Linked DNA regions of Saccharomyces cerevisiae S288C. Changing the gene in region 1 together with any one later gene gives a genetic interaction. Each region holds a gene or a part of one and is shown in the gene's direction. Other genes may lie near its edges.

Evidence for each region.
Region 2: mutations in DYN3 (region 1) and FIS1 together harm fitness more than expected from each alone (negative genetic interaction), as found in Saccharomyces cerevisiae (4 studies listed by BioGRID).
Region 3: mutations in DYN3 (region 1) and ASE1 together harm fitness more than expected from each alone (negative genetic interaction), as found in Saccharomyces cerevisiae (3 studies listed by BioGRID, with this or other methods).
Region 4: mutations in DYN3 (region 1) and BUB2 together harm fitness more than expected from each alone (negative genetic interaction), as found in Saccharomyces cerevisiae (3 studies listed by BioGRID).

Annotation. Positions count from the first base shown.
Region 1 is NC_001145.3:863,912-869,860, reverse strand, and holds DYN3 (dynein light intermediate chain), read left to right. Parts: upstream 1-4,510; coding exon 4,511-5,449; downstream 5,450-5,949. Other genes in the region: ATP-binding cassette Fe/S cluster precursor transporter ATM1, read left to right, coding at 234-2,306; ADE4 (amidophosphoribosyltransferase), read left to right, coding at 2,770-4,302; sphingosine N-acyltransferase subunit LIP1, read right to left, coding at 5,590-5,949. UniProt on the Saccharomyces cerevisiae protein: Component of the cytoplasmic dynein which acts as a motor for the intracellular retrograde motility of vesicles and organelles along microtubules. May play an important role in the proper orientation of the mitotic spindle into the budding daughter cell yeast.
Region 2 is NC_001141.2:239,152-244,705, reverse strand, and holds FIS1 (Fis1p), read left to right. Parts: upstream 1-2,930; coding exon 2,931-3,398; downstream 3,399-5,554. Other genes in the region: U1 snRNP complex subunit SNP1, read left to right, coding at 1-49; ARC15 (Arc15p), read left to right, coding at 244-708; YRB2 (Yrb2p), read left to right, coding at 962-1,945; EFM4 (Efm4p), read right to left, coding at 1,990-2,679; ribonucleotide-diphosphate reductase subunit RNR3, read left to right, coding at 3,998-5,554. UniProt on the Saccharomyces cerevisiae protein: Has a role in mitochondrial fission. Has a role in outer membrane fission but not matrix separation. Required for targeting MDV1 to the mitochondria.
Region 3 is NC_001147.6:431,263-439,279, reverse strand, and holds ASE1 (Ase1p), read left to right. Parts: upstream 1-2,934; coding exon 2,935-5,592; downstream 5,593-8,017. Other genes in the region: LPL1 (putative hydrolase), read left to right, coding at 1-374; co-chaperone SGT1, read right to left, coding at 5,907-7,094; NOB1 (rRNA-binding endoribonuclease), read left to right, coding at 7,654-8,017. UniProt on the Saccharomyces cerevisiae protein: Required for anaphase spindle elongation.
Region 4 is NC_001145.3:385,601-390,923, reverse strand, and holds BUB2 (Bub2p), read left to right. Parts: upstream 1-3,902; coding exon 3,903-4,823; downstream 4,824-5,323. Other genes in the region: ferroxidase FET3, read right to left, coding at 192-2,102; ADP/ATP carrier protein AAC1, read left to right, coding at 2,680-3,609; STV1 (H(+)-transporting V0 sector ATPase subunit a), read right to left, coding at 4,949-5,323. UniProt on the Saccharomyces cerevisiae protein: Part of a checkpoint which monitors spindle integrity and prevents premature exit from mitosis. This cell-cycle arrest depends upon inhibition of the GTP-binding protein TEM1 by the BFA1/BUB2 complex.

The DNA of each region.
Region 1 (5,949 bases):
TAAAAGAAATTACCTTACCCAATTTGCACAGCAAAGGTCACTGACCTATACGTGCCCTTCATCAGATTACATCACGTGAAATTTCACTGGGAAAGAGCGCGAGGGCTTTCCGATGACTTTCTACATTAATAATCGCAAACAAAGCAATCAGCACAGCAAAGAGTACAATTTCGAAAATTGCGACAGAGCAACGTAAGTATATCGTTGTTGATAGATTCCACTCCAACCTGCAAATGCTGCTTCTTCCAAGATGTCCTGTAATTGGGCGAATTGTAAGATCAAAATTTAGATCTGGTCTAATCCGGAACCATTCGCCCGTTATATTTACTGTGTCTAAGTTATCAACCCAGCGGCCTCTGTTATTCAATTCAGCTGTGAATTTATGGAATCAAGCACAAAAGGATATTACGCACAAAAAATCCGTCGAGCAATTCTCGTCGGCTCCAAAAGTGAAGACTCAGGTAAAAAAGACCAGCAAGGCCCCAACCCTCTCGGAACTGAAAATCTTGAAAGATCTATTTCGCTATATTTGGCCCAAAGGCAACAATAAAGTGAGGATAAGGGTACTGATTGCCCTTGGACTGTTGATATCCGCCAAAATTTTAAATGTTCAAGTACCTTTTTTTTTCAAGCAAACTATTGATTCAATGAATATAGCATGGGATGATCCTACAGTCGCCCTTCCGGCAGCGATTGGATTAACCATTCTTTGCTATGGTGTTGCAAGGTTCGGCTCTGTTTTATTCGGCGAACTGAGGAACGCCGTATTTGCCAAAGTGGCACAGAATGCCATTAGAACTGTGTCGCTACAAACTTTCCAGCACCTTATGAAGTTAGATTTGGGATGGCACTTGAGTAGACAAACGGGTGGTCTGACGAGGGCCATGGATAGAGGTACAAAGGGTATATCTCAAGTGTTAACGGCCATGGTATTCCACATTATCCCTATAAGTTTTGAAATATCTGTCGTTTGTGGGATTTTGACGTATCAATTCGGTGCGTCATTTGCCGCAATAACATTCAGTACAATGCTTTTATACTCCATTTTCACTATAAAGACGACCGCATGGAGGACACATTTTAGAAGGGATGCTAACAAGGCCGATAACAAAGCTGCCAGTGTGGCTTTAGATTCTTTAATTAATTTTGAGGCGGTAAAATACTTCAACAATGAAAAATATCTTGCAGATAAGTATAATGGCTCCTTGATGAACTATCGTGACTCTCAAATTAAAGTATCGCAATCTCTAGCATTTTTGAACTCCGGCCAAAATCTAATTTTTACTACTGCCCTAACTGCAATGATGTATATGGGTTGCACCGGCGTTATTGGTGGCAACTTGACAGTTGGTGACTTGGTTCTAATTAATCAGTTGGTTTTTCAACTATCAGTACCGCTAAATTTTCTTGGTAGTGTTTACAGAGATTTAAAGCAGTCTCTGATTGATATGGAAACGCTATTTAAGTTAAGAAAAAATGAAGTCAAGATTAAAAATGCCGAACGTCCCTTAATGCTTCCAGAAAATGTTCCCTACGATATTACTTTTGAGAACGTCACGTTTGGATATCATCCCGATAGGAAAATTTTAAAGAATGCCAGCTTTACCATCCCAGCAGGCTGGAAAACCGCAATAGTTGGGTCTTCGGGCAGTGGGAAGTCCACCATTTTAAAATTAGTCTTTAGATTTTATGATCCTGAAAGCGGAAGGATCCTCATAAACGGTAGAGATATTAAAGAATATGACATCGATGCCTTGAGGAAGGTGATTGGTGTGGTACCACAGGACACACCACTTTTCAATGACACTATCTGGGAAAATGTAAAGTTCGGTCGTATTGACGCAACCGACGAGGAAGTGATAACTGTAGTTGAAAAAGCCCAGCTAGCACCCTTAATCAAGAAATTACCACAAGGTTTTGACACCATCGTCGGGGAGCGAGGGTTGATGATCAGCGGTGGTGAAAAGCAAAGGCTGGCAATTGCAAGGGTACTATTGAAGAATGCAAGGATCATGTTTTTTGACGAGGCCACAAGCGCCTTGGACACACACACAGAACAAGCTCTCTTACGAACCATTAGAGATAACTTTACTTCGGGTTCGAGAACGAGTGTATACATCGCACATAGACTGAGGACAATTGCAGATGCAGACAAGATCATAGTCCTTGACAACGGAAGAGTAAGAGAGGAAGGTAAGCATCTTGAACTGTTGGCTATGCCAGGGTCATTGTACCGCGAACTTTGGACCATACAAGAAGATCTGGATCATTTAGAGAATGAACTAAAAGACCAGCAAGAACTATGAACGCTCGTAAGTAAATATTGATTTATACATGTATAAGTTTTTCAAGATTTAAGGAAAAAAGAAAAGTTATTATCTTTCTCCGCGGTTTTTCAATGACCCGATGTATTGACTCTTCCTGACCGAAAATAACAGGACAGAGTTAGAACGAACATGAATAATAAAATATAATCTGGGATCATGAATCCGAATGACTGCTCATGCGGCAAATGTCAGAGCTTCGGTGTATTTAAAGTTTGCTTACTTACAATTTCAATAATAGGTTTGTACTTTTCAGATTCTTATTATTAAGTCAAGGTAAAGTCCTTCGTTTTTTTTTTTTTCATTTTAGAAAAATTTCAACAGCCACCGTACAATTTTATTCACTTTTAAGTCATAGTTGCGAAGACATCGTCTTGAAAGTAGTAGATTTCGTTCTAATAAGTTTAGCAAAGAAAGAGGTACAGCAAACAGCAGAATAGAAAAAATGTGTGGTATTTTAGGTATTGTATTAGCAAACCAAACCACTCCAGTAGCTCCGGAGTTATGTGATGGATGCATTTTTCTACAACATCGTGGACAAGATGCAGCTGGTATAGCTACCTGTGGTTCTCGTGGTAGAATCTACCAATGTAAAGGTAATGGTATGGCTCGTGACGTATTTACCCAACAACGTGTTTCCGGTCTTGCTGGTTCCATGGGTATTGCCCACTTGAGATATCCTACAGCCGGGTCTTCGGCTAATTCAGAAGCGCAACCATTTTACGTCAATAGTCCTTACGGTATTAACTTGGCACATAACGGTAACTTGGTGAATACTGCATCATTGAAGAGATATATGGATGAAGACGTTCATAGACATATTAACACGGACAGTGATTCGGAGTTACTATTGAATATTTTTGCTGCTGAACTGGAAAAACATAACAAGTACAGAGTTAACAATGAAGATGTTTTCCACGCGTTAGAAGGTGTTTACCGTTTATGCCGTGGCGGTTATGCTTGCGTTGGTTTACTTGCCGGTTTTGCATTATTTGGTTTCAGAGATCCAAATGGTATTAGGCCATTATTGTTCGGTGAAAGAGAAAATCCGGACGGCACTAAGGACTATATGTTAGCTTCAGAAAGTGTTGTTTTCAAAGCTCACAACTTTACTAAATATCGTGACTTAAAGCCTGGCGAGGCAGTTATCATCCCTAAGAACTGTAGCAAAGGTGAACCTGAGTTCAAACAAGTGGTTCCTATTAACTCTTATAGACCTGATTTATTTGAATACGTATATTTCGCCAGACCGGACAGTGTCTTGGATGGAATATCAGTTTATCACACAAGATTGGCTATGGGTTCTAAATTAGCGGAAAATATTCTAAAGCAACTGAAGCCAGAAGATATTGATGTTGTTATTCCCGTCCCAGATACTGCAAGAACATGTGCACTAGAATGTGCTAATGTGTTAGGGAAGCCTTATAGAGAGGGCTTTGTTAAAAACAGATACGTGGGCAGGACATTTATCATGCCAAACCAGAGGGAAAGGGTTTCTTCAGTAAGGAGGAAGCTTAACCCTATGGAGTCTGAATTTAAGGGTAAGAAGGTTCTGATAGTGGATGATTCTATTGTCAGAGGTACTACTTCAAAAGAGATTGTTAACATGGCCAAGGAATCCGGTGCAACAAAGGTTTACTTCGCTTCAGCTGCCCCAGCCATTCGTTACAACCATATTTATGGTATTGACTTAACAGACACAAAGAACTTGATTGCTTATAACAGAACCGATGAAGAAGTGGCGGAAGTAATCGGTTGTGAAAGAGTCATTTACCAATCATTGGAAGATTTGATTGATTGTTGTAAAACTGATAAAATAACCAAATTCGAAGATGGTGTATTTACCGGAAATTATGTCACTGGTGTTGAAGACGGTTATATTCAAGAATTGGAAGAAAAACGTGAATCGATCGCAAATAATTCATCAGATATGAAGGCTGAAGTCGATATCGGATTATATAATTGTGCAGATTATTGATAGATTGTTCCGAACTTGTTCAGTTGTATGTAAAATAGTTTCCAAATGCGCCCATTTATACATAATTATCTTTGTATTCTGACCTAAACTAAATATATATATATATATGCACGTATTAAAAAAAAAAATAAAAGCAAAAAGGTAAACAAAGAGAAGTAATCCGCAACTTGTACAAAAAGAAAAGAAGATAAAAGAATTGTATGTATTAATGGATAATTGTAATGCCTGGGACAAATTATTGTCTCAGAATGAATCCACAATCAACAGCACAGAGACTGCTACGATAACAGCAATCATATATTCCCCATCAAGTAAAACACTGCATCAATTTATAAATATCTGTTTTCCAGAGGGAAGCAATTCAATACTGGATACCACTTTGATTAATTACGCCACCATAGGATGGACCAACGACTTAAAGGAAAATTATTCTGTCGATGTTTACACGCTAATAAGAAACACTGACGATGCACTAGATCTTCTAAAGCCGTTTTTACAAGAACATAGTTCGAAGGTTCGCTGGCTCATATTATTAGATTGGACACTGAACGACCAAAAGTTGTGGCTGAATGAACTATCCTACGCATTCAATAAAATTAAGCAACTGAATGACGATAATGAATTTTCTGTATGGTGCTTAAACAGTGGCGAAATATTAAACTTACAAAGACACACTACAGTATGGCAGTCAGTACATATTGACTTCATTTTGCAAACGTTAAGATCGTTTTGCTATTTTAATGATAGCTCACTATTCTATATATGCGAAGACCATACCGAAGAGAAACGAGAGGAAGCACAAAGGCTTAAATACCAAGAGCTTCTAAAGCATTTTTGTGAAGATAGAGATATGAAAGATCATATTGAAATGGTCAAACGCAGTGAGATATTAATACCGAAGGGGTGCGATTCTATTGGATTGATAAAAACAGTAGACGAAAGATTTGAGCCTACTGAGGTGAAAGAGCAACACTTTTTGGCCCGATATATGGACTTTATACCAACAATTGATAAAATCAGAGAAGATAGGAAAACAACCTCTGGTATCGACCTTGATAAACTATATCCTTTAGAAGTTTTCAAAGTTAATATTCAAGAGGAATTAGGCAAAATGTTCGCAAAATATAGGGAAAATTCGAGGATTTAGGAAAGTGGGCAGGCGATACTTCTTTTATCATGAGCAATTTTTTTCTCTTTATATGTATAAATATAGATATGCACACGCATTTATAAATCCCTATATCAGGGTTGGATTTCTTCTATGTTTATGTATGTAAAAGAAAGAATTCACATGTGATAAATTGTGGAATCAGCACATAGTTCTTGAACCAGCTCAGAGTCTGTGTCGTACCCGACATAAGCTACGTAGCCAGGTTCACCTTTATCTTCGTGAATTGGGTAGTGGACGGGTGGAACATTATCATTCTCGATGATACAGAACGAGAGATGTTCATCATTTGGTTCATAATCTCTAGTGATTCTCTTTACTATAGTTTTATATTCGCCTCTTTTGTCACAACTTGGCCCACCACGTGCCCAAAGCTTGATTACTGAGCCAGACTGGGGTTCTTTGATTGGGGTACAATGGAACCATTCATAGTTAATTCTTGTACCATACTTGAAGTATTCAACCGCAGCGATCAGCAA
Region 2 (5,554 bases), on another chromosome or scaffold:
ACGGACTCGAGAGTCTCAACCAGCTCCCAAAGAAGCGCCCGACTATTGAATATAAGTAATACTTAAACTCTGCTACTTGTTGTCTATGATTACCCGCACATCAGTTAATTTGGATACTTTTTTCCCTTTCTCAGACTTTGCCCCTATAACAAAATAAGAGAAAAACAGCCCGCATTTAACACAAGATACTATAGCAAAGGAGACCAGAGAAGACTCAACACAACACACGCGAACGATCAAGCAATGGAAGCCGATTGGAGGAGAATTGACATCGATGCATTTGATCCAGAGAGTGGCAGACTAACCGCTGCCGATCTGGTACCACCATACGAAACTACTGTCACATTACAAGAATTACAACCTCGAATGAATCAATTGCGCTCGCTTGCCACAAGTGGTGACTCTTTGGGAGCCGTTCAATTACTCACAACCGATCCTCCATACAGTGCAGATGCTCCAACAAAGGAGCAATATTTTAAGAGCGTCCTTGAAGCATTGACACAAGTCAGGCAAGCCGATATTGGTAATGTAATCAAAAATTTGAGTGATTCTCAGAGGGACGTGCTGGTAAAGTATCTCTACAAAGGAATGTCCGTACCTCAGGGCCAGAAACAAGGGGGTGTCTTGCTTGCGTGGCTGGAAAGAATTACTCAAGTCAGTGGTGTCACACCTATCGTTCATTATATATCGGATAGAAGAACTGTATGATACTCTGCCCAGTAAAACTTAGTATAAAGAAATATACATATATATACGTAATTTTAAGGGTCGCGTTTGTTATATGCTTTTACTTCAGGCATTTCGCGGTGATGTAGGTATTGAGTTTTTTTTTAAAAAAATTGACATTGTTTGGCGAGGTTGAAGATATAAATGCCTGGATTTTAAAAAGCTCAGTTGCTACTCAAACCAAAATGTCAACAAATCAATTTGCACAAAACAAGTACGCATAAACTTTGAGAGCATGAGTGAGACCAATGGTGGCAATGCAGCCAGGGAAAATTCTGAGGTGAAACAAACTGCAGTTGAAAATCCTATCGATAAACTAGATGGAACTCCTAAGAGACCGAGGGAAAAAGATCAGGATGAACAAGCGGAAGAAACGAGTGACAAATCAGAAGCACCCAATAAAAATGATGAGGAGAAAAAGGAGGAAGGTAAAAAAGACCAAGAACCATCGCATAAGAAGATCAAGGTTGACGACGGAAAGACCGTAGAATCTGGTATTGTGGAAGATGACAAAAAGGAGGATAAATTCGTGTTTGGTGCCGCATCTAAATTTGGAACTGGGTTTGGTGTTGCCAAAAAGGACACGAAAGATGGAGATGCAACTACCAGTACTGAAAGTTTACCAGCCTCTGACAGCAAAACAAAGAAGCCATTTGCATTTGGTTCAGGTTTATCATTTGGCAGCGGCTTCAACATACTGAAAAACAAAACAGAAAATAACTCTGAAAGTGAAAAGAAAGCTACTGATGTTGACAAAGATAAAGTCCATAGTGGATCTGAACAACTAGCGAATGCCTCAGAAGATACAAAAGACAAACCAAAACCCCTCAAATTGCAGAAACAGGAAGTCAAGTCTGGTGAAGAGTCTGAGGAGTGCATATATCAAGTCAATGCGAAGCTGTACCAACTTTCCAACATAAAAGAAGGCTGGAAGGAAAGAGGTGTTGGTATCATCAAAATCAATAAAAGTAAGGACGACGTCGAGAAGACGCGTATTGTTATGAGGTCTCGTGGTATCTTAAAAGTCATTTTAAACATCCAACTGGTCAAGGGGTTCACTGTGCAAAAAGGATTTACAGGTTCTTTGCAAAGCGAAAAATTCATAAGATTACTAGCAGTAGATGATAACGGTGATCCTGCACAGTACGCCATAAAGACTGGTAAGAAGGAAACCACGGATGAATTGTATAACATTATAGTTAAATCCGTTCCTAAATAAGTAAAGAGAAATAACGTTAAAAATAAATCAAAGATAAAAACAAATCAGTTTTGTTTAACAAATGCTACACTACATATGGTCGCACCCTGGACCCCGCCAAATTGGAAAACAGGGTATTTTATTGTTTTCCACATTTTCAAATTATCAGTCTCTATGATCTTTACTAGTTCATCTTGTGTGAAATTACAAGAAGTGATCAAGAAAATACCGTCTTTTTTCAAAATCCTTTCCACTACTCCGGCGTATACATCGACTACATCAAGTTTACCGTTGATCTTCATGCCACTCAATGAAATGGCATCTAGGGTCCCTTTATCCAACACAATGTCATACTTTCCCGGCTTCCAGTCACCACTAAAGATGTCTGCTTGCTGGAAACTGATGAAATTGTCAACACCGGTGGCCTCGGCTATATTACTAGCGAGTTTGACGCTTTCCTCAGAATAGTCTATCCCGACCAGTTTCCCTTGGAATTCCGTTTGATGCAGTTCAAATAACATGTGTCCATTACCTGTACCGAGGTCTACAACAGAAGCATTCTCAGAAATTCTGTACGCACCAATGTTATCTACCAGAAAATCAATCATCTTTTGTTCAGCATCGCTATCGCTAAACCAACAGTCCCCGGTATCCTGCGGATTCCGCCTGAAATTCTCCAGCTCCAGGGCATACAGTTCATCCCAGTATTTTTTCGTACCAAGTTTCGAAGTGCTCAAATCTGCCGTGCCCTGCATCTGTACTACCTTTTCGGGTTGAGTTCGTTCCATAATACCGTTCTTAAGAGCTGAGCTCATCGATTTTTTTTCACTTCTTTTCATGAACCAATCTTTTTGCGCATTTATGCCGGAACACCGCAAGCGGGCTAGGCTGGACCCCTTTCAAAGCAAAGCTGCCATTGCCACTATTCTGCACAGAAGTTATCATATACCTTGCGTAAAAACGGCACATAGAAGCACAGATCAGAGCACAGCCATACAACATAAGTATGACCAAAGTAGATTTTTGGCCAACTCTTAAGGACGCATACGAACCACTCTATCCGCAGCAGCTGGAGATTCTGCGCCAGCAAGTCGTCTCCGAGGGGGGGCCCACCGCTACCATACAGTCAAGGTTTAACTACGCATGGGGGCTGATCAAATCCACTGACGTGAATGACGAAAGGCTTGGTGTGAAAATCCTCACAGACATTTACAAAGAGGCCGAGTCCCGTAGACGAGAATGCCTATATTATCTGACCATAGGTTGCTACAAACTCGGTGAATACTCTATGGCGAAGAGATATGTAGACACTTTATTTGAGCATGAGCGTAATAACAAGCAGGTGGGCGCTTTGAAGAGTATGGTAGAGGATAAGATCCAGAAGGAAACACTCAAGGGTGTTGTCGTCGCTGGAGGCGTACTAGCCGGCGCTGTGGCCGTGGCTAGTTTCTTCTTAAGAAACAAGAGAAGGTAACAAGCACATAAAAAATCAGCACATACGTACATACATAAGAATGAATCGCACGCACGCGTAAACATTTATCATTTAATCTTCAGTTGTTAGATAAAAAAAAAAAGAAAAGAAAAGAAAGTGAAGGCTTGTTTCAGTTTGAACTAGGTAGCAGAGCAAGCCCTCGTTCTTGGCTGCTAATTTTCCTAAAGTAGTAAAAAAAGCCAAGTTATCTGCCTACGGTTGTCACAGCAACATTGCGTGCCGTTGTTCTTTTGTTTTTTTTTTTTTTTTTTTTTCGTGGTTGTCGCAGCAACGACACCTAGGCGCTGCTCAAAGGGGCAAAAACCCGGTTGCCATGGCGAGGACCAAACGACAAGATGGGAAAAAAACAATAGTCTATTGTTAAATCGTAATACTGTATTGTGAGATGCTGACGCGTTTCGTTTTTCGTGTCAGCGTTCTTTATATTGTTTCGTGTTCTGCTGCAAAACGTATATAAACGCACTGCTATTTTGCCTTCTTTTGCCTTCTTCCTTGCCTTTCTCTCATCTCATATCCAAGTTGAAATAAATATGACAAGCAAGAATAGCAGCAGCAATAAATCAAATACTCCCACACAAATGTACGTTATTAAAAGAGACGGCCGCAAAGAGCCCGTTCAATTCGATAAAATTACCTCCCGTATCACCCGTTTGTCATACGGTTTAGACCCAAACCGTATTGATGCTGTTAAGGTAACCCAACGTATTATTTCTGGTGTGTACTCCGGTGTTACTACCGTTGAGCTGGACAATCTTGCAGCTGAAACATGTGCATACATGACCACTGTGCACCCTGATTATGCCACTCTAGCCGCTAGAATCGCCATCTCTAACTTACATAAGCAAACCACAAAGCAATTCTCCAAAGTTATTGAGGATTTACACGACTGGATTAACCCAGCTACTGGAAAGCATGCTCCTATGATTTCGGACGAAATTTACAACATTGTCATGGAAAACAAAGATACTTTGAACTCGGCCATCGTGTACGATAGGGATTTCCAGTATACGTATTTCGGATTCAAGACACTGGAGCGTTCGTACTTGCTAAGACTGAACGGTGAAGTGGCAGAACGTCCTCAGCATTTGGTAATGCGTGTGGCGCTAGGTATCCATGGTAGCGATATCGAATCTGTGCTGAAGACTTATAATTTGATGTCGTTAAGATACTTCACTCACGCTTCCCCAACTTTATTCAACGCTGGTACGCCACATCCTCAAATGTCTTCATGTTTCTTAATTGCCATGAAGGATGACTCTATCGAAGGTATTTATGATACTTTGAAAGAATGTGCTATGATTTCCAAAACTGCAGGTGGTGTTGGTCTTCATATCAACAACATCCGTTCCACAGGTTCTTATATCGCTGGTACCAACGGTACTTCAAACGGGTTGATTCCTATGATTCGTGTTTTCAATAATACTGCCCGTTATGTGGACCAGGGTGGTAACAAGAGACCTGGTGCTTTCGCCCTTTTCTTGGAGCCATGGCATGCAGATATCTTCGACTTTGTCGATATCAGAAAAACACATGGTAAGGAAGAAATTCGTGCAAGAGATTTGTTCCCTGCTCTATGGATCCCTGATCTTTTCATGAAACGTGTTCAAGAGGATGGGCCTTGGACTTTGTTTTCGCCCAGTGCTGCCCCAGGTTTAGATGATGTGTGGGGTGATGAATTTGAAGAACTATATACTCGTTACGAAAGAGAAGGTCGTGGTAAAACAATTAAAGCCCAAAAGTTGTGGTATGCCATTTTGCAAGCACAGACAGAAACAGGTACACCTTTCATGGTTTATAAGGACGCATGTAACAGGAAGACAAACCAACAGAACTTAGGTACTATCAAATCATCTAATTTATGTTGTGAAATCGTCGAATATTCCTCCCCGGATGAAACTGCAGTTTGTAATTTAGCTTCTATTGCCCTACCAGCATTCGTTGAGGTTTCAGAAGATGGTAAAACTGCAAGCTATAATTTCGAGAGATTACACGAGATTGCTAAAGTCATTACTCACAACTTGAACAGAGTTATCGACCGTAATTACTATCCAGTTCCCGAGGCTAGAAATTCAAATATGAAGCATAGACCTATTGCTCTTGGTGTCCAGGGTTTGGCCGATACTTATATGATGTTG
Region 3 (8,017 bases), on another chromosome or scaffold:
ATGTTACAGATGCATACGGGTCCATCATAAATTCGGCTTTAGATATGGATGCGAACTATGAAGCAAGTAATAGTAATCTTGTAAACGAAGAAGAGCTTCCTTGGAAGGAATTTATCCAAAAATACACAACTATAAATGATGGTGTTTGGAAATCTAAATTTAAAAAACTGCCTTTTGATGAAAACCGAAAGGTTATTTTGAGAAATCTAAACAAATTGAAATGGATTAGAGTTCCAATATACATAAAGGCTGTAAATGCGCATGGCGTGATTGTGGCACGTAGAGGAATGGACGAGAATACAGCTGCTACTGGGATTGCTTGTATCGAATTTACGGCCCAATTACTAGCATACTTGATGCACAAGAGTAATTGAGCACTTGATTTACACGAAATAGTATATATTTTTGAATGAACACTCTCATGTGATTAAAATGTATTACTACCACTAATGCTTGAAGGGAATTGATAGACTCGTTTTATAGTGGGGGAAAAAGAAAAGAAGAGGATGGTACCCGAATAGTTACTGACAAAAATAAAGAACTCCTCATAGGGGGCTCGAACCCCTGACATTTCGGTATCCTTGCTTAAGCAAATGCGCTTAAAAGCCGAACGCTCTACCAACTGAGCTAACAAGGATGAGTTCTTCGGAGCGTCCTAAATAAAGATTTCTATAGATAGTGGGTATTTAACTTAGGTTATTTAAAGTAATTAACTACCGAAAAGGATACATTGCTAAACTATTTGATAAATGTTGAGGTATAATTTTTATAAAGGAAATAATTTTGGATAGAGTATGTTGGAATAGGAATCAAGTATTATTTATCGACTAGCATTCATATTATTAATATAGTATCATATGCGGCGTAAAAAGATAACCCTAAAGATGAGAAACAGTCATCAGATTTAATGGGAGCTGGATTGCAAGGATATATAATGTAATAATATAATGACTATTATCATAAAGAACAGAAGAAGAATATCAATATTATTAGAAAGAGATATGGATACTCTTTTGGTGGATTTCAATTCTCGAGGGGAACTTTCATATATTTTGTGTATCTAATATTATAGCCTTTAGCAACGGTAGAAGCCCAATAATAATCATTCATTACCTCATGGTAGAGCCTATGATTTGGTTACTTCTAGGGAAGCGTACACAAATCAAATTCGTCACACGTTTCCAATTTGCAAACCTCATATGATAAGGTTTCCAGCAACGCCAACTTTCAACGGATAATACACCTGTTTTATCAGCTGCTCCAGAGAATCATCATCATCGTATCTGCTCAATTACTGTCGTCACAGAATGGACCGTACTTATAGCGATATAATCACTCCGAATCAAGCCAAGCCATCTAGTTGGTCATTTTTAGGACGCCCGACTATAATGTCGTCGATGTATTTTCAATCAGATACTCAACCAACAATTTTATAGTATATATCACCATTGAGAAGCCCTTCACGTAGTTGAAACAGTATACTAACCCAACAATCTCGTATGTTTTTTGATACACCAATCACGTCTCGCAATTTTTCACCGCCACACATTCTGTGGGGGAAGAATACTTCTACTTGGACTAAATTCTACATCAAGTTTTGAAAAATTCCAACCCACAGGCAACATTCATTCTAATGAACAGGGTGAATTCTGCGACCACTATCGTACGAAGAGCATTCATATTTGTACAAAACATTTCAAACGTTTGTTCCGTTTCATTTGTTGCCAATTTGGTTCAAGAAAACTTTAGAAATCAATTGCAGCAATTTTCAAACTGTTCTCTATAAAGCATGAAGAATATTGAACCTTGAATATAATGGAAGAATATCTGCAGATTTATTTGAAGCAGTGAACACTCTGACCTACAGATTAAAGGAAGACGATATAAAGGTAATGACAGACTAACTTGGCAGTTTATCTAAAAAACTTTTCGGAGAATTCAGTTGCTTACGCCAGTAATACTGTGGTAGAAGAAATATTACTTGGTATTCAAGCCATCTACGAGGAAGGAAAATTTATAAAAAACACGAGTACAATAACACGAAGGGAATAAATAAAAATGTCATATGTTCATAACAAGTGCACAGATCGCCCTGCTGATTATGTTACGGATAACAAGATAGAATATCCTTTGGAGCTCGACAATTCTACATAGTATTATATTTTTCTCTTCTTCTTTTCTTTGTTCATTTCCATTGTCATATTTACGTATTTGCTGATGATTGTTGGCATTCCATAATATAGATAACATTATGATAATAATTTCGTCTAACAATCTGTATCATCTTATCAAACCATACATAGCAATATACTACTGATTTAAAACCAGCTAATACAAGATATTTGATCTCTATTTCAAACAAAGGATTTTAAATGTTCTTCAATATGGTCTTCTTTTTTCATTTATTTTTTTTGATTAATATTTTGTTGAAAAGTAAAAGTTTTGAGACATGCAACTTGTATTTCTCAGAAGTGAATAAAAATAAATATATGAGATTTAAGATAGAAAAAACAAATCATCTTTAAAAACTTTCTTTCCTAGTATAGCCACTTTTTATAGTTACAATTGTAAAGAACTGCCTATAAACAATAAGTCTGTCTGCCATATCTACGTTATTATTTAATTTCACTAAATAACCGCCCAGAAAATCGTACAGTGTGATTTTCTTTCGTCATCTAATATTTCCCAATGAGGTAAAAGGTAAATAAGCTTGAGAATCTTTAAGAGGAAACAAATACAAAAATATTATTAAAGTCGAATACCTGGTTTTTTCACAGAACAATAGCAAAGATACGAACAAACGGCTATTACCGAGAATAATTATTTTAAGGACTAATTAGAGCATTTTAATAGGCTATTTTTAATCATCAGATATAGCATTCTGGCATTAGAATTCAAAGGTTTCATTTTGGATTCACTACTTTTGATGTTGAAATGGAGACAGCAACTTCTTCCCCTTTGCCCATTAAATCGAGGAGAAACAGCGAAAATTCTGGGTCTACTACAGTTATACCGCATATGAACCCTTCTTTAGCAACACCGTTGACTGTGTCGACCATGGTAAATCAATCAAATTCTAAAGAGTTTATGAAGTTGACCCCAGTTCGTATTAGAGATTTTGGTTCTCCTTTGAAAAACGTGTCCACTAATTACCATTTTTTAGACTCAGAAAATGGTAAAGGTAACACAATGGATAATATGTATAGAGAAAATTTCATTCTTATTTCAAAGGATCTAGAGAAATTACTGGAGAATCTCAATGTCATATATCAAAATATTGGGTATTCTAATACGGAAATTATCACCAAGGAGAAAATCATATTCACCACTATATCTAATTCCATAAAACAATTTTTTGAGCAAGCTGACGAAGAATTGAAAAGACTGTCCGCAGAGAACGGAATTGAACAGGATATTCTAAATAACATTCTAGAGAGAATAAATGACCCAAGTGGCATAAAGACTATTCCTGACTTATACATTAGAAATGCTATTCTACTGCAAGAAAGTAAAACTGTGCCACAGTCACCGAAAAAGCCACTTTCCTTACTAAGCAAAAAAGCAGCATTAGATACAGCAAAAAAATTTGTCCTAGGAAGTTTTTTACCCAGGCTCCGCGACTATTTAAAATCCTTAATCACTCTAAAACACCTCATACAATCTGTAAAAGAAAACCTTCCTGGATTGACAGAAGCAGATAACGAGGCTATCGCCGAGTTTCCAGAATTAAGCACATTAACCGCATATTTGTTACAAATAGAAAATGGTAAAGGCGATATTGGTTTGTCCATGAAATTTATTATAGATAATAGAAAAGATATTTTAAAGGGATCGGCATTTAAAACTATTAACGAAGAATCTGTGAAACACATGAATGAAGTCATAAAAATTTACGAGGAAGAATACGAGAGGAGGTTTAAAAGCGTACTCACAAAAAAGGTTAGTATTTCATCAATATGTGAACAACTTGGAACTCCCCTAGCAACGTTAATCGGTGAAGATTTTGAACAAGATCTAAGATCATATGGAGAAGAGGAAAACTCCACATCAGAAATACCAAATTTCCACCCGGTAGACAGAGAAAGAATGTCTAAAATTGATATTACATTGGAAAAACTGCAAGCTATCCATAAGGAAAGAGCAGACAAAAAGAGGCTCCTGATGGAACAATGCCAAAAACTTTGGACAAGGCTAAAAATTTCTCAAGAATACATAAAGACTTTTATGCGTAACAATTCAAGTTTATCAACCGAGTCCTTAGGTAGAATCTCTAAAGAAGTTATGCGACTTGAAGCAATGAAAAAAAAACTAATAAAAAAACTTATATCAGATTCCTGGGACAAAATTCAGGAATTGTGGCGTACGTTACAGTATTCAGAAGAAAGTCGGTCTAAATTCATCATTGTATTTGAAGAACTAAGGAACAGTGCAACAACTTTACAGGAAGATGAGCTTCTTCTAGAAACTTGCGAAAATGAGCTAAAAAGACTAGAAGAAAAACTGACCCTTTATAAGCCAATTTTAAAATTAATATCAGATTTTGAATCTTTACAAGAAGATCAAGAATTTTTGGAAAGAAGTTCAAAAGACTCTTCACGGCTTTTGTCTAGAAATTCTCATAAGATATTACTAACTGAAGAAAAAATGAGGAAAAGGATAACAAGACACTTTCCTCGAGTCATCAATGATTTAAGAATTAAATTAGAAGAGGCCGATGGTCTATTTGATCAACCTTTTTTGTTCAAAGGTAAGCCACTTTCAGAAGCAATTGACATTCAGCAACAGGAAATCGAAGCAAAATATCCAAGATGTAGAGTTAGAATGCAGAGATCTAAAAAGGGAAAATGTGGTGCGAACAAAGAGAATAAAGTCATAAAAAACACTTTCAAGGCCACAGAAAGTTCCATCAGGGTACCGATTGGTTTGAATTTAAATGATGCCAACATTACTTATAAAACGCCTTCAAAGAAAACAATACAAGGCTTAACAAAGAATGATCTATCCCAAGAGAACTCGCTTGCTCGTCATATGCAAGGAACAACGAAGTTATCTAGTCCGAACAGAAGAGCAACAAGATTACTAGCACCCACAGTAATATCTAGGAATTCCAAAGGGAATATAGAGAGACCTACCTTAAACAGAAACAGATCATCCGATCTTTCATCATCGCCTAGGATAAATCATACGCATGGCGAACATGCAGTAAAACCACGCCAATTGTTTCCTATCCCGCTGAACAAAGTCGACACTAAGGGTAGTCATATCCCTCAATTAACTAAAGAAAAGGCTTTAGAACTTCTTAAAAGGTCGACTGGCACCACGGGTAAGGAGAATGTACGAAGCCCGGAACGCAAAAGCTCATTAGAAGATTACGCACAAAAATTGAGCAGTCCTTATAAAGAACCTGAGCACAGCATATATAAACTTTCCATGTCGCCAGAAGGTAAATTTCAATTAAACATTCAACAAAAAGATATTGAAAGCGGATTTGATGATACCAGTATGATGGAAGATGAAAATGATAAGGATTTTATTACATGGAAAAATGAGCAAGTTTCGAAATTGAATGGATTCTCCTTTACAGATATTTGAATTTCTTAAAAGCGCATTCATTTAACCCTCTGATCTCTTATTTATTTTTTTTGTGGTTTTTTTTTTCACATCACTTTCTAGCCTTCGCTACATTGTCTCTTTCTTTCCTTCTTTTATTCTATCATTCTCCCTTTCCTTTTTCCATTGCACCGTGACTCTGGATTAATATGGACATAATAAAATTTGTAATATTCAATATAATCATGTAAGCATTCCAAGTAAATACGCAGGTTGGCTAGTCTAAATCGAAAATGTAACATTACTACCATACTATATATCTACATATTGTAATTGTGTAGGTATATACTAATCATTTACCAATGTTTAGGTTCCATGCCTTCTGGTGGTGAAGTTTTAACCGTTCCCTTAGATACGTCTTCCCAGTCTGTACTCAATGCAGTACCATTACTTTCTATAAAGGATTTCATCATAGCCCTTTTGGTATCTGGATCCGCTCCAGCGTAAAGCTTTTGAAAGAAACTATCAGCCGATCCCGCTTCTTCATCAGCTTCTTCATCAATGTCAAGTTTAGACCAATCTATTTTTTTTTTAGAGGACGATGGATAAGACAATCTCTCTTTTGATGCCGTTTCTGCTGATAATAAGCGGGTTGCAGAATCAGAATTTTTACCCTCATCTGATAACCTTGAGGATTCCGTTAAAATATCTTCTTCCAACTTCTTCCATTGCGTGCTATCAATTTTGCTCAAGGTAATTTCCAGCTTTTTTGGGAAAATTTTTAATGACACTGCTTTTGGATCCACCTCATGCGAAAGCTTAGCGTTGTATTGAAATTCAGATCCAGATTTCGGTACTTGGTACGATATCGATAAAGTTCTTCTATCGTTTGGAGAAATATATATATTGACTTGTTCCTTAGACTCAGGAAGATTAACAGTAAATAATGATATAGTGACAGAGGTGCTGGATTGATACCAATCGATTTTAAATTTAGGGGATTCTTGAGGAGCGGTTTCAATTTTGAGAGGTGAAATGGGACTATGAGAAGAATTATTATCTCCTCTGTTTTCAATACTTTCCACTGGTTTAATTGTATGCTTATTAGTTGAATCCTTCTGCTTTTTATTTTTTTTATTCAATTTTGTCTCCAGACGATCTTCCCATAAAGGCAAAGTGTCATCAACGTAACCAAGATTCTTGGCTTTTTTAAAATAAGATTGGGCCAGTTCATAATCTTTGATATTGAAGAAATGAACAAAATAACGAAAGTTAACAAGACCAATCTTCGATCTATCGCCCCTACCCTCAGCTGTCATTAGAGCCTTGTCAAGAAGTTCCTTTGCGTTTTCCATAGTTGCATCGCTGTGCCAATCAGAAAACCCAAAGTATAGCTTTTCAAGACATGCTGCCTTAAAAATGAGAGCCGTTAAATTTGTGGGTGAGCCTTTGAGAATTTCATCATAAAGATGGAGGGCCTTCAGTGGTTCCTTCTCATCATACAAAGCTTTGTAGGCAGTTTTTAAATCTTTTTCAACAGGCATTTCTTTTTCGTTTCCTTAAAACAACTACCTCTTTAACCTTAAAAGACTTCTGCCATTACTTTGTCATAGTGCTTTCGTTCAATTATTAGCGTTCAAAGATATATCGCATATGATCAACTCATCTTGAGACCTTACACCCTAAAGTGCTTATATTGGCTTCGTTTATAGTGATCAAAGTCATCAATATAGTGCTCGTCAGTGTAAGACTGAGAAGATCATTCTTAAAAGAATTAGCAGATGATGCATAAGCACTATGGCGGTATTATCTACTATCATTTCTCTTGTATCTGTGCTGAGCCTGGTTCTATTGAAGAAGAATTCAAAATTTGAATGTCTCAATAGAAAAACCCGGACATTCCATAATGCAAGATCAAAATTTTTCGATGAGCTTTGTTTTGCATTGGCAAATTTTTACCTGCTAAGAAGAAGTCTACATGGAGAAACAGCACCATTATCTCAAGTATGTTCTTAACATAGAGGTCGTTCAGTCAGCGCTAGATAAATCTCATCGGCGATCATAGTTCAGTATTTTTCTAAAGTTTCTTTAAAGGAGCATAATATGACCGAAAACCAAACCGCACATGTAAGGGCGTTGATATTGGATGCCACCCCATTAATTACGCAGTCCTACACACATTACCAGAATTATGCACAGTCTTTTTATACTACTCCCACAGTTTTTCAAGAAATTAAGGATGCTCAAGCAAGGAAAAACCTTGAAATTTGGCAGAGCCTCGGAACTTTGAAATTAGTACATCCAAGTGAAAACTCGATAGCCAAAGTAAGTACGTTCGCCAAATTGACCGGTGACTACTCCGTACTGAGTGCCAATGATTTGCATATTCTTGCTTTGACATACGAGTTAGAAATTAAACTAAATAATGGCGATTGGAGACTGAGGAAAAAACCAGGTGATGCATTAG
Region 4 (5,323 bases), 480 kb from region 1:
CAGATGAGGATCTCATGTCAAAAACCGCCAAGAAGCATGCATTATTGAATTTGAAACGTGGTAGATTATTAAGTATATGTCTATGTAATATTAAGTAAGACAAGGGCATTCACTTTACATGCAAATGCATTTGGAACCCTTGACCGAAAAAAAAAAAACAGGTTAACCGCAAAATACATGATCTTCCTTTATTAGAAGAACCGTTTGGCTTTAGTTAAAAATTGATGCTTTTCAGTGGAATGACGATCTTCGTTTACCTGACGCTCTTCATTTTCATCAACCTCATTTAGCAAGACTTCAGGGTCCACGTGCAAGTCTCGAATAACCTTTTCGGTCGCATCTTCCATATCCATCATACCATAAATTGCAATTGTGATAATACCAAGAATACCGGCAAAGCAGGAGAATGTCATGGCAATAATACCTTTTTTGGTAAAACCGGTAGGAATGAAGGCATGCTGAACATTTTCACCAGTTAAATCAGTTAAATCCAGTGTATTGGCAGCGGCGTTACCTTCAGTGGCCACAGAGCAACTCTGGCAAACTTCTAAGTGGTTTTCACTGAGTTGTTGAGAATGAGCATCTTGGATACCAAAAGGATCCTCCACGAGAACAAGACCCAAACCTTGCAACAAATGCCATTCGATATGACAATGGAAGAACCAAACACCTGGGTTATCGGCTTTAAACCTGATGACGAAATTGGATTGTGGTCTAACGTATAAAGTATCTCTTCTCATTGGGTATTCTGGGAAGGCAGGGTGGTTGTCCGGATCGAAACTGTGAGGAACTTCACCTAGGGCATCATCATATGTACGATCTCTCTGGATGGTTTGGAAAGCGTGACCATGTAAATGGAAAGGATGGGTACCTGTGTCCTGGTTATTTAGCACAATCTCCACGATTTCATCCTTCTCTAGGATGAAAGTGTGCGTGTTTGAACCGTAGATTTCGGAGTTGTTTGCTTGATCACCTGAAGACAAAACGGTCATCAAAGTAGGAACTTTTGGTGCAGTATAGGTGATATTATTGAAGAAGGCGTAATTCACACCGTTTTTCAAGTTATCCATAACAACGTCAACGGTAATCACATGATCTGGCTCGCCATAGATGGCTTCTTTCTCGTACGGTTGCAAGTAGAAATCGTCCAAGAAGTTATCAATTGAATCCACGTAATTTTGTGTGGGCAGCGCAGCGGTTTTGTTGTAGACCATATAAGAGGTTGCATTCAGCTGTAAATCACTTGGAATGACATCCAACATGGTGTCATCAAATTTCTGCATGATGGCGAAATTTTTGTCCGTGTCGTTTTTAGTGTGAACCAGGACTGTATATCTCTGAGCGACAGTGATGTAAAGCATATCCGTTACGTTCTTCTCGGTAGTGATACCGTCGATTTCGACCACGGTCATTTCGTGGTCCTCGATCCAAAAGTACTGCGAAACGAACCCACCCACGTTGACAATTCTCAAAAGATACGTCGTATCGGGCTGGACTTCCCATGTCAGATTCATCGTGTTGTTAACAATCAAGTTCTGTGGGATGGGCTCAGCACCTGTCGGATTATAAACACTCATGAACGACTTCGTCAAGTCCGTGACCAAGTCGTGGTACCACTCACTAAGCGATAAAGAAAGTTCCTCATCGTAATCGTAGGGGAAGCTATCATCCTTGATGATGAAAAGACCTTTCATCCCGTCTTCATATTGACCGTCCGTGTGTGAATGGTACCAGTAGGTGCCTACATTGTAGTCCACCGTGAAATTGTAAAGCATAGTACTGCCTGGCGCAATTGGACATTGCGTCAAGAAGGGCACACCGTCCATAGAGGCGGTTCCGTTTTGGAAGAGACCGTGGAAATGCATAGAAGTATTGGTGTTGTTCATTCCGTTGGTCAAGTAAATCTGCACACGGTCACCTTTGTTGACCGTTATATCTGGCCATGGGAACTGGCCATTACAGGTGATCACGGGACGGCTCTTTAGCCCATCAACGTTCCTGTAGTCCCAGCCAGTGGTCCAATTAAACGTGTGCGTCTCCGCTTGTGCTAGCGAGAGCATCGAGAAAAGCAAAACGGCTATAGAGAGCAAAGCGTTAGTCATCTAGTTCTAATTTTTTGCTACTCTTCCTTACACTGGGGTCCTCTTCGTTTCCTATGCCTATCCATCGCTTATAGAACAAGAGCTATAGGGCATGGCCTGCTTACATACATATATATATATATATATATATATATATAATCGCACTACATGCACGAGGCCTTGGCATACTCCCTCGAAGGATCGACTGTTTGAGTGCATCCTTCATTTTCTGTCGCAATTGGCGAGAATAAGAGCACCTGCAAATGGGTGCACTTTTGAAGATGGGCCTTGCCTGTTGGGCCTGCCTAAGTCAGCCTCGCCTAGCTCTAGGCGGAGGGTCTTTATCGGCGACTCAGCGTACTGTAGGGACCACCCCAGGCGCAACGGGCTGATTCGCACCCGGAAAGTAAAGCTTATTTCTGTCGGACGGAGAGTGTCCTTTTTCTCTCGCAGAAGACCATTTATTGGTCCTGAAACGGTATGAACATGTTATTATTCCTGTAACCGTGAAATAGGCAAGCCAAGGCATTATCGCAAAGAAGGCAGCACAGATTCTCGTATCTGTTATTCTTTTCTATTTTTCCTTTTTACAGCAGTAATGTCTCACACAGAAACACAGACTCAGCAGTCACACTTCGGTGTGGACTTCCTTATGGGCGGCGTTTCTGCTGCCATTGCGAAGACGGGTGCCGCTCCCATTGAACGGGTGAAACTGTTGATGCAGAATCAAGAAGAGATGCTTAAACAGGGCTCGTTGGATACACGGTACAAGGGAATTTTAGATTGCTTCAAGAGGACTGCGACTCATGAAGGTATTGTGTCGTTCTGGAGGGGTAACACCGCCAATGTTCTCCGGTATTTCCCCACGCAGGCGCTGAATTTTGCCTTCAAAGACAAAATTAAGTCGTTGTTGAGTTACGACAGAGAGCGCGATGGGTATGCCAAGTGGTTTGCTGGAAATCTTTTCTCTGGTGGAGCGGCTGGTGGTTTGTCGCTTCTATTTGTATATTCCTTGGACTACGCAAGGACGCGGCTTGCAGCGGATGCTAGGGGTTCTAAGTCAACCTCGCAAAGACAGTTTAATGGATTGCTAGACGTGTATAAGAAGACACTGAAAACGGACGGGTTGTTGGGTCTGTACCGTGGGTTTGTGCCCTCAGTTCTGGGTATCATTGTCTACAGAGGTCTGTACTTTGGCTTGTACGATTCTTTCAAGCCTGTGCTGTTGACGGGGGCTCTAGAGGGGTCCTTTGTTGCCTCTTTCCTATTAGGTTGGGTCATTACCATGGGTGCTTCCACTGCGTCGTATCCCTTGGATACGGTAAGAAGAAGGATGATGATGACTTCGGGCCAGACCATCAAGTACGACGGTGCTCTGGACTGTTTGAGAAAGATTGTTCAGAAAGAGGGCGCGTATTCCTTGTTCAAGGGCTGTGGTGCCAACATATTTAGAGGAGTCGCTGCAGCTGGTGTCATCTCATTGTACGATCAGTTGCAACTCATAATGTTTGGCAAAAAATTCAAGTGAAAAAAAAAGAAAACAACAAACGAATAAAATCTAAAAATTCTACATATTCTTGCTATTTATTTACATATTCATTCTTGCTACATACCTGTCTTATGCTATAATGACACTGGAGGTCTTCTTTCTTCTTTGAATTTATGTCCTGACAATTCAGTAAACGCCGTGCGGAAGGGAACCGTTTACGTACGCCAAGCTAAACATTGAAAAAAAAAAAAAAAAAAATGATAATAATAGTAATAATAGTAACGACGTAAAGGTAAAAGAAACAACAGACTTTTAAACTTGTTAACTTTTGCATGACCTCAATTGAAGATCTGATATCAAATCCTCCCCTGCTACTGCATTCCTCACTCTCTCAACTTCGCTACCTCATACTCAGTGAAGGGCTTCCCATATCTGAAGATAAACAGCAGCAGCGCACGCGATGTTACGTGTGGACGGTGCTCTCTCAAACTTCTATGGAGGCGTCTACACAACGGTACCTTGCGCTCTTGAAACTGGGCCCACCTTCCACAACCATTTACCAAAAAATCAAGAACGACACATCCAGAACTTTTCAGACGGATCCAAACTTTAGAAATAGAGTCTCAGAGGATGCCCTCATCCGGTGTCTGTCGTGCTTTGCTTGGCAAACACAACAAAGAAGACAAAAGACTCGTTTTGGTCGCATTCCTGTGAGCACATATGTGCAGGGCATGAACGTGTTATTAGCTCCTCTGCTTTACTCATGTCCTTCTGAACCTATGGCGTATCAACTTTTCACTAAGCTTTGTTATGAAATGATACCGACGTATCTAACTAAGAACCTAAACGGCGCCCAGAACGGCGCCAAACTACTAGATATTTCTCTCAGAATCATTGATCCAAAGCTGAGTAAATTTCTATCGGACAATTTACTTACAGCAGAGATTTATGGTATGCCTTCCATACTCACGTTATCCAGCTGCAATAAACCGCTTGATCAGGTCATTAAACTGTGGGATTTCATGTTTGCATATGGATTCCATATGAATATTCTCTTTGTGGTGGCATTCCTAGTTAAAATGAGATCCAAGGTTTTCAAATCGGATTCCCCTGTTAATTTACTACGACAGTTTCCGGATTTTGATGCTGACGAGATCATTCGGCTGGGCGTCGGGTTCATCGCTAAGATCCCTGCTCAAATTTATGACCTATTGGTAGACCACTTGACCGACCCAGACATATATATACCGTAAACTATGTGAAGAAATATTATATTTTATCGTTTAATTCTACAACGTTTATATGTCTGTATGTGTAAAAAAAAATAAAACGAAAAAAGCAGTGGGTAGATGAGAAAATTTACAGTAATTTAAGGTTATTATTCTATTATTGCACGAAATGAAAATGGCTCGTACGCATATCCTTCACCTTCAAAAAATTTGGACATTGCCTCCACCCAATGCAAACGTAGCGCATGCAACATTGCGGAAGTACCTTCCATGAAAACTAGGATACAAACGGTTAAAACAAACCACATAGCAAATAAGAAAACCACCTTCATGACAGCCAAAGGCGACCCTGAGTTTTTAGAACTGAAAGCGTTTGAAATTGTCATATCCCATAAAACACTAGATAATTGCGCATGCGCCAACGATAGTGCCCAAAGACGTAGATATGATGCTGTATGAGAGATACAATTTAAACAGAATTCAATAGTATGGATTACCTGATGAATCATGACATCGCCGAAATT